Linked DNA regions of Tribolium castaneum. The protein of the gene in region 1 interacts with the protein of each later gene in a pairwise test. Links are inferred from orthologs where the notes say so. Each region holds a gene or a part of one and is shown in the gene's direction. Other genes may lie near its edges.

Region 1 (4,350 bases):
GTTTTTTCTATGCATGTGAATGTTTCCAGAATTTTTCTACGATTTCTTATACAGTCAGACTTCGATAACTCCAAATGGCAATTGCCAACAAAACTAATTATGTTATGGAAAAGTCCTCCTATCAAAAATAACAGAAAAAATAAAACTATAGCTAATGTTGAAAAAAATATTAAAATGGTAGGTTAATATTATAATATGTTTTAATACAAAATTTAATTTGACATTACATAGCACCCCACAAAAAAATTTTGATTATTTCTTGTCCTTGTTTTTCCAAGATGCTTAATGTTTTGTGCAAATAATATGTAAAAAAATTGTTGCAAGTTTCAAAGTGTTAGTGGTGGGCGAAAATTTTTGGTTCAAGGTCTGTCAAAAAAATTCGAGGTTGTTGTAGTTATCGAATAATAAATATTAAAATCTTGCGACTTTAGTGCTACGGGAATCACAATTATTAAAATTATCAACTTAAAAATAAAAATATTAATAGTAGTTGGTATAAACAATAAAATTAATATTTATTTATTTAATGACTTGAATATAAATTGAACGCTTTATTTCACAAGCGGATTTGTATTCATCATGCACAAGGTGAAATAAATGAACCGATTTACACAAAAGCGTGTTGAATACAAAATTTTATTCCTCGAATTAGACTCAGTAAAGGATAAAATCTTTAAATCTGTTAAAAATAATCTGATGTTTCGTACTGAAAAATGCCAGAGTTTTTCTTACACATGAGAAAAACCGTAAATTATGACATTGTCGAAGAACAAATATAATAAAATCACAGATAAAATATTGATTAATCGAAGTTAACTTCTCCCGTCTTTCAAAAAAAAAAAAAATAATAAATGAGTTTTATGCAAAAAAACCGTAAAAAATGTTGTTAGCCCCAAAATTGTTTGTTAGAATATTTGTTTTTTTTTAATGAACTATTTTTTAAACTAACGTCAGTTTTTGCACAAATATACATTATTTGATTCATTTGTGTTAGAATGACATAAGACCGAGCATAAAACATAACAAATAATAGAATTTTTTGTCGCGGCTTATGTAATATTATTTAAATAGTTAATTAACATTTATTATAAGATAAGATTTATAATGAACATTAAAAAAAATCCTGAAAAAATTCTTGATTGTGCTCAAGATACAGTAAAAATACAGGGTGTCTACAGATGCCTACGTATTTGTTATTAAAAAAAATTGTTTTCGATTTATTACTACTGCTCTTTAAAAAAAGCCCCCAAGGAATACGTTTATTTTTATATCTTGATAAATATTTAACCAATTTTTAAGAAATTTGGCATGCGAATGTTTATTTTTATTTATCGTATTTAACTAGAAATTTTTCAAATATCTAATAATCACTTTAAATTGCGCTGGGGGCGGTTTTTCGTGGCGCTTGCGCCACCCCCGACATGAGTCCACCTCGCACATGTTTACCAGTCGTCAAATCGTCTTTAAACGTCTCCGATTCATTGCGTTATTAACGTAAACGAGACACGTTGTCGTTTCACGTGCGTCCAGATGTTCGTCAACCGCAAGATCGGTTGACCCTTCTTTCTAATCAGTCTTGTAACATGGATCATCTCATACGCTCATCGTTTTGTGTCGGTTTTAACTTAATTAATTTACCTGATTTGTGTTTTTTTGGGTGTATCACATCGTCTCTAGTTGTATAAATAACACAAATAAAATTACTTAGATTTTTTTTAGAATTTTTGGGTAAGTTTGATGTTATTGATGTAGTTTGCAGAAATTGGAAATTCGATAGCCTGTTAGATGCACTCCTTGTAGCGTTGCGTAACTAATTATTATCACATCAGAAATACTTTTTTGTTAAATTCAATTATTATTACTGACATAACATAATGGATATCGATGTGCACGTGTCGCTTGAAATTATTGGATTTGCATTTATGACGTCGAAAAAGCCATACAAAACCAGATGCTCATTATGAAATAATGTCCTGCATTTTGACAAAGAAAATTTTCAATCTCCTTTTTCGGCTTCTTCCGGTCACGAGCTTTGCCACGAGATTAATAAAACACGATACTCTCAATACCACAAACAATTATCTGGAAAAGCAAGATCACGAAACAATTTCTTTTTGATCTGCCGTTTGAATTTTGTTACAAAACAAGTTTCGCATTTGATGAAATTAAAATCAGTGTTTTTTTATTTTAATCATTTGTTGACAATTATTTGTGATAAAATTAAATCGTAGTAAAATGACATTAACCACACCGAAAATAATATCGTCGACGGTGTTGACAGATATCATCTGCATTTGACATTTTTCTAAACCTGGAAAATACCATTGTAATAGAATATCTCCCAAACAAGGTGTAAAAGAAAAAATATAAAACTAATTTCAAGATATAATTATCGCACCACCACAAACAAAATCGATTTACGAAGCACGTTACTCTTTAACAAACAATCTACTCACTGTAAACGTGCCCTAATATAACATTTGACGTTAACATGCATTCACTTTATTAGGAAATAATTAATTTGTTTAAACCGTTGTTTCTCCCCAAATACGCAACTTCAATAATAATATTCAATTAAAGTTTCACAAAATCGACACGTGCAACACATTGTGTTTAGGAACTAATTTTAAACAAAAGCTTATTAATTTTCTTCCCAGTGACAAGAAAAAAATTAATTATTTTTTTTAGAAACTATTAGCTGTTTCACAACTATAAAAACGCCAACATCGCATTTTTCTCAAAATTAGCTGTTATAAATTATTCATGCACTTCAAAAAAATACAGCTAATACAATCTAGTCGTCTATGAATTTCTCATGTTAAATCAGAAAATTCCGCTTCATAGAACTAATGATAAGCATTTAGACATCGAATATTACCGTTCTCCATCGAAAACAATCTTCGATAATCGATAATAGAAGTGTTTTCTTGCTCAGTGTAACAATTTAGTTGCATTTTAACGAAATTTTTTAAAGAAATTAATTGAATTTCACAATTGACAAATTTGACATTTATTGACAGAGGATTCAATTGATTAGAGTGGCAGAATTTTTTTTACACGTAAATTTCAAAGTTAACTAGATGAGAATCATTAAAAAACACATTGTATAATTTATTCTTATATACTTATACAATGTGTTCAAAAATGGTTGCTCATCAAGTCACCTATGAAATTTGAACGTAATATGCCGCTTAATTTAAATTGTGAATGTTGTCAAAGTGACAGATCCGTCAAAATAATGCAAAAAGGCTTCAAATTCCAAAAAAAAATACACAACAAAAATCACCGAAATATAAAACACTAATCAAGACAAACCCTACAAATGAAACAATTATTGAAAAAAGCAAAAATTTTATGCTTTTTTGTAATTTTATCAATCTTATTTAAGAAAACAATTGAGTAAAATGGCGAGGTTAGCGTTTTTATAGTTTTGAAACAGCTAATATATAGCAGTTATTTATTATACAAAACGATAAAATTTTATTTTATCTGTGAGTGTGTTTGAGAAGATAATAGTAAATTTTATCGTCGAGTACAATCCATTATTTCGATCGAATTACTATTTTAATTGACAATCATAAATCAAAAAATAGAACAATAAAAAATGTCAAAAACAAAAAAACAACCATGCTTGTAGACCATATTTCTCTAGACCATAAAATTTCGTTTTACGATAAAATAATTAGTGGATAAAATGCCATTTTACCGTTCACGATAAAATAAAAAAAATCGTGGTGAAAAGTGGACAAAAAAATTCTTACAAAACAATCACATTTTTATAAAGTAATTACGCTGAGGCTTCAAATAATGAATGAATGAACTGTGGTTCTTTTGGTCTCGATTTCCGAATTACGAAAGCTTTGTCTGTAAAACTTTCCATCTGGATCAAGGGTACTCGAGCCGAACCCCCTTGACCAAGACCCCATTCATAACAAAGGTGTGGTGCAACACCGTTATATCTAACTGTACATGTTATCACAAACTAACGGTTCTCATGCAATAAGAAAGTACCAAGGCCAAATACCATGATGCAGTACCACATGCAGAAAATGCACAGAAACGTGTACGATACTGTCACGTTTTATAGAAAGTGAACGTTTTCAGTTCGTTGATGTATAGCTACAAGTCGCTCATTTTTTCCAGTGTTGATGTTCGGTGTGAATCCCACAAATGGCCCATATTCACAACATGTTTGCTTCAATCTGTGTCCGAAATGGGGACACACTTATAATAAACGACGACTGCTACGGTAATTTTTTCCAAAAAAATAAGTCGCGATATTACTTCAAAAAATTTCAGAAATATTACAAGAAATCCTGAGGGAGCTTTTAACCGAAGACAGTACTTTAA
Region 2 (4,296 bases), about 11 Mb from region 1:
TAAGCCACATGTTTGTCCGACCTGTAATAAGGGATTTGTGAGGGCGGAACAGCTTAATAACCACATGAATATACATTCTGGAATCAAACCGCATGTCTGTGCGATTTGTCTCAAAGGTAAACATTTATCTCAACAAACTAAACACTTAGTTTAAAAAGCGTTTTTTTACACAAGTAATTTTCTGAACTTCAGGTTTTAACCAAATATCAAATTTGAAAGACCACATGCGAACCCACAACGGTGAAAAGCCCTTTCTTTGTTCCACCTGTGGCAAGGGCTTCAACCAGTTGGGAAACCTTCGTCAACACACCATCCGCCACAGCGGCATTAAAGCCCACCTTTGCAGTACGTGTGGTAACGGTTTCGCCAGCAAAGGTGAACTTTCAGCCCATCTCCGAAAACACACCGGTATATCTCCAAATTCAACAATTATTTTGTACTTATTTATTATTTTAGGTGCGCGCCCTTTCGTGTGTCCAATCTGTAACCACGGCTTTACAACTTCAAGTTCGTTAACAAAACACAAACGAATCCATTCCGGGGAAAAACCGTACGAGTGTGACGTATGCAAAATGAAGTTTTCGCGGTCGGGGATTCTAGCCAGACATAAAAGGACGCACACGGGAGAGAAACCTTACGTTTGCAAGTTTTGTACAAAAGCATTTTCACAGTCGAATGATCTGACGTCACATTTGCGGATTCACACGGGGGAAAAACCGTACATTTGCGATGTATGTGGACAGGCATTTAGGCAGAGTTCTGCGCTTAAAACTCATAAGAAAACGCATCCTGGACGAGAGGTTATTGACACGAAAATTGGGGTCTTGGGGGTCATGCATACCCCCTTTTTAACGTAATAAAGTAAGGGGAAAAGTTATGTTTACCAATTAGTTTTTTATTTATTTTTTTAATATATCTACCACCTTGTAATTAATTAATTAATTAATTTTGCCAACATTTTATCAACTGTTATTTATTTTAAAGCGTTTTGCTCAAAATAAAATCCAGATTAGTTATTTGGTGTTTTATTATTATTGCCCTAAAAGACTTGGTCCAACTCTGGTATGACGTGCAGCAAAAACTTGGTAAACGTATTGAAAAAATAATTAACCCATTTGATTCAAATTGAAAACCAAAATCTTGGAGGTGGTACAAAAGATAACTACGTGTTATGGTGACATTTCGAATTTAAATCACGTGTAACAAAATTTGACGATTAAAATTAAAGAAACACGTAACACCTTTGGTTTAGATGACCCAAAAAAAATCTCCTAAAATTCTCAAAGTTACGTTAGGTTGTAGCCGCGTAATTCAAGGCATTAAAGCGTAAATTTAGCGCGAAAATCGGCGTCGAGGTGTGGACAAAGGACGATAATACTCTAGGGAAAGACAGCTCACGTTGTTGAAAGCGTGAGTAGTCGTCGGTTGCGTGCCCTCTTGCTATATTATATTCTTTCCTTTTCCTGCCTACTCTTTCCATCCGTCCCTGTCTCATTCTGCAATCTCACCAAAGGAAAATGTTGCGCCAGTAAAGTTTCAACCAGGCTTGCAGTAATATGAAATTATTTTGTTGCGCTTAATTATTGCGTTTTTTCGTGATTGCTACCAGTGCTTCGATCTTTTGAAAAATATTTACTGAAAATGTAACAACGTTTTGTAAGTACATTTTTATTTTAACCGAATTCCAGCATTTGGCTGTTTCCAGAAGTGCATTTTTTGAAGGGTAGTAGTACTCAACAAATATTTTTTTATTTTATTTAAACTTCAGCCTAAAGCTATTTGGACCTACCTTGAAGAAGTGCCAACACTGGCAACCAATGTTGCGAAAATTAGCTAACTAAGTGCTTTATTTCAATAATTAATATCTTTTACATGTAAATAAATATCGAATTAATCAATGCCACGTGAATTATGAATAATACAACAATTCTGTGACTTACCTTAATAGGCTTTCATGTGGATCTATGGTGCGATAAATAGTAAATATTAACAGGCTAAACTAAGCAATAAACATAATTAAAAAAAAGAACAAATCTAAAGCACTGTAAAAGGTCAAATTAACTGATTCGAGGCTTAAGCTCCTAAGGGACTTTGTGCACGAATTGTTTTAATTCTTTTGCGATCGCTATATACTGTTTCAAAATGCTGTGAATGTTGTATGTCCATTTTAAAACAGATTTTAAGTATAGATATATTCAAAGGGAAGAAAAAAAATGTTTTTATTCCCATTTTCACTCAGTATGAAAACTGGTTTGGAAACTCGCCAAAATAACTAATGTTACAAAACGAATTCAATTCATCATCAAGGCTGAATATTTATTTATTACTATCTGAAAAGTGACACCAAAATGTAATGGAAGAATAAAAAACTTGAGTAATCGAAATTCAATGTGATATTTTTTTCGATTAGATATTTCTGAGTAATTTGCGAACAAAATGCATCTTTTGAAACCTTCATCAACAAAAAAAAAAAGATTTAAGTAACTAATTGCTGAAAAGATGCGAACCGAAAAGTTTATCTTTTTTGACAATTTCGAAAGCTTATTAATTAAATTTTACTTGTTGGGCTCAAAGCATAATTGTTCGTTGGGTGAAGAAGAGAACACAAATGGTAAAACGCGACTTTTGCAAAAATAAATTCCCTCCCACAATGTTTTAAATTAGTTAATAAAGCTTGTATTTCTTGGCTTCCAATCCTAAAAATAACCTAATTGAAGGAAAAGTCGTTACTCATTGTATTAATTCGTATAGTTAAGTAAATACCTAATCAGCCGTTACATAAATAATGTTTACTTTTTCCGATACTCCTTTGCAGTGTACACGTTCAGAACAACGTGAATCCGTAACAGTGAGCGACTAAATTTGCCAATTTTATTTTTACAGTGTGTTTTATTGGTTACTGTATCACACGTTGCAAATAAATCTGGAGCAGAAAAATACGAGCAAAACCTTTTTTAGAGAATACATTCCCCAGATCTGGAATAAAATAAAGTCACCTGTTGCGCGAAAAATCTTCATTGAGCGAAAACGCAATACCTAGCTTTCAAAAAAATAGTAAGTGTGTTAAGGTGATCCTCTAATACCAAAGATTATGAGAGAAAGGTAATTGCTTGGTAGAGGACAGTTCTATAAATAAGTGATTCTTTTATTAGAAAGAACCCGAGCCTTTCTTTTGAAACATGTCATGAAAAGACGACGGAATTAAGTTCACATAACAACTTTGCGATTGGCAGTAGTTGGGGTCTGCACAGGAGAAGCAGCACGTTGTTGTACATGGGATTTTATGTTACGACATGAAGTAGTATTTAATTGCAAAGCGATTTTGTGTCAGGGGTTAAACCAAATTGAGTTGTTAATTACAAAAACCATGTTGTTAATTAAACACGTTTTGAATAAAATTTTAAATCTTGAAAGGATTTGAATCGAACCCGAGGAAATCAGACGTGATGTTCTCTTATCTCTGATTATGATTTGCATTTACATAACACAACGAAAAGTGAAAATTAATATTCTGAAGGACGTAGGACATTTCAAATTTTAAACTTAATCAAGGGAAATATATGTTATGCTGTTACAATCTGTATCGGTCATTAGAAGAAATGCATAATTTTACAAGCACCACAAAACACTCAATAAAGGTCGTATGTATTACAAAACTCTTATTACTATATGAAATGTTAAGATACAGCAGAGGAGTGAATTATAAAATTTGAAAGAAAAATAGTTGTGCTAATATACCAAATTGTTTTTTCATTTATTGTTTTACTATTGAATCATTAAATTTTTTTGTGGATCCAATATCCAATCCTTACCCCATTTCAAACAGAATCGATAGTTGTAGGAGAAACAAGAATCAAAGCCCCAGTAACTCAAATGAATCCTTAAAGGTTGAGCGCTCCAGACAATTACTTTTACTCATCTCAGTGTGTCAATTTACGCATTCGTAGTTCTTCTCCTTGGAACTAAAAGCTAATAGTTATTTTCGTAGAAAATTAGATTCCCTTTAAATAGTCGTTTAATAAGCTCCGGACAGTTGTTACATAATCTATAGTCAATTTGAACTAGCAATCTTGGTCTTCCGCGTTATATAAAACACTCGCTGCAACTTAAACCATTATGTAAGACACTGAATTACATGAACAAATTCGGAATTAGAACGAACGGTAAAAAAGTTTGCGGATTGCTTGTGACAAGGTCAGGTTGAGTAATATATAAAATTAAATCTAGAAATTGTCACATGCAATCAATAATGCATCCAATAACAAACTTTTTCGATGTATTTTTGGAACAATGCAA

What was found.
Region 2: the proteins of tim (region 1) and per interact in a two-hybrid assay, tested with the Drosophila melanogaster proteins (5 studies listed by BioGRID). The link is inferred for Tribolium castaneum from reciprocal best matches to the Drosophila melanogaster genes tim and per.

The regions. Positions count from the first base shown.
Region 1 is NC_087398.1:11,639,500-11,643,849, reverse strand, and holds the start of tim (timeless), read left to right. Parts: upstream 1-1,445; 5' UTR 1,446-1,728; intron 1,729-4,143; 5' UTR 4,144-4,170; coding exon 4,171-4,249; intron 4,250-4,299; coding exon 4,300-4,350. UniProt on the Drosophila melanogaster protein: Required for the production of circadian rhythms. The biological cycle depends on the rhythmic formation and nuclear localization of the TIM-PER complex. Light induces the degradation of TIM, which promotes elimination of PER.
Region 2 is NC_087398.1:316,238-320,533, forward strand, and holds the start of per (period), read left to right. Parts: upstream 1-1,451; 5' UTR 1,452-1,656; intron 1,657-4,296. Other genes in the region: zinc finger protein 569, read left to right, coding at 1-116, 193-408, 457-857. UniProt on the Drosophila melanogaster protein: Essential for biological clock functions. Determines the period length of circadian and ultradian rhythms; an increase in PER dosage leads to shortened circadian rhythms and a decrease leads to lengthened circadian rhythms.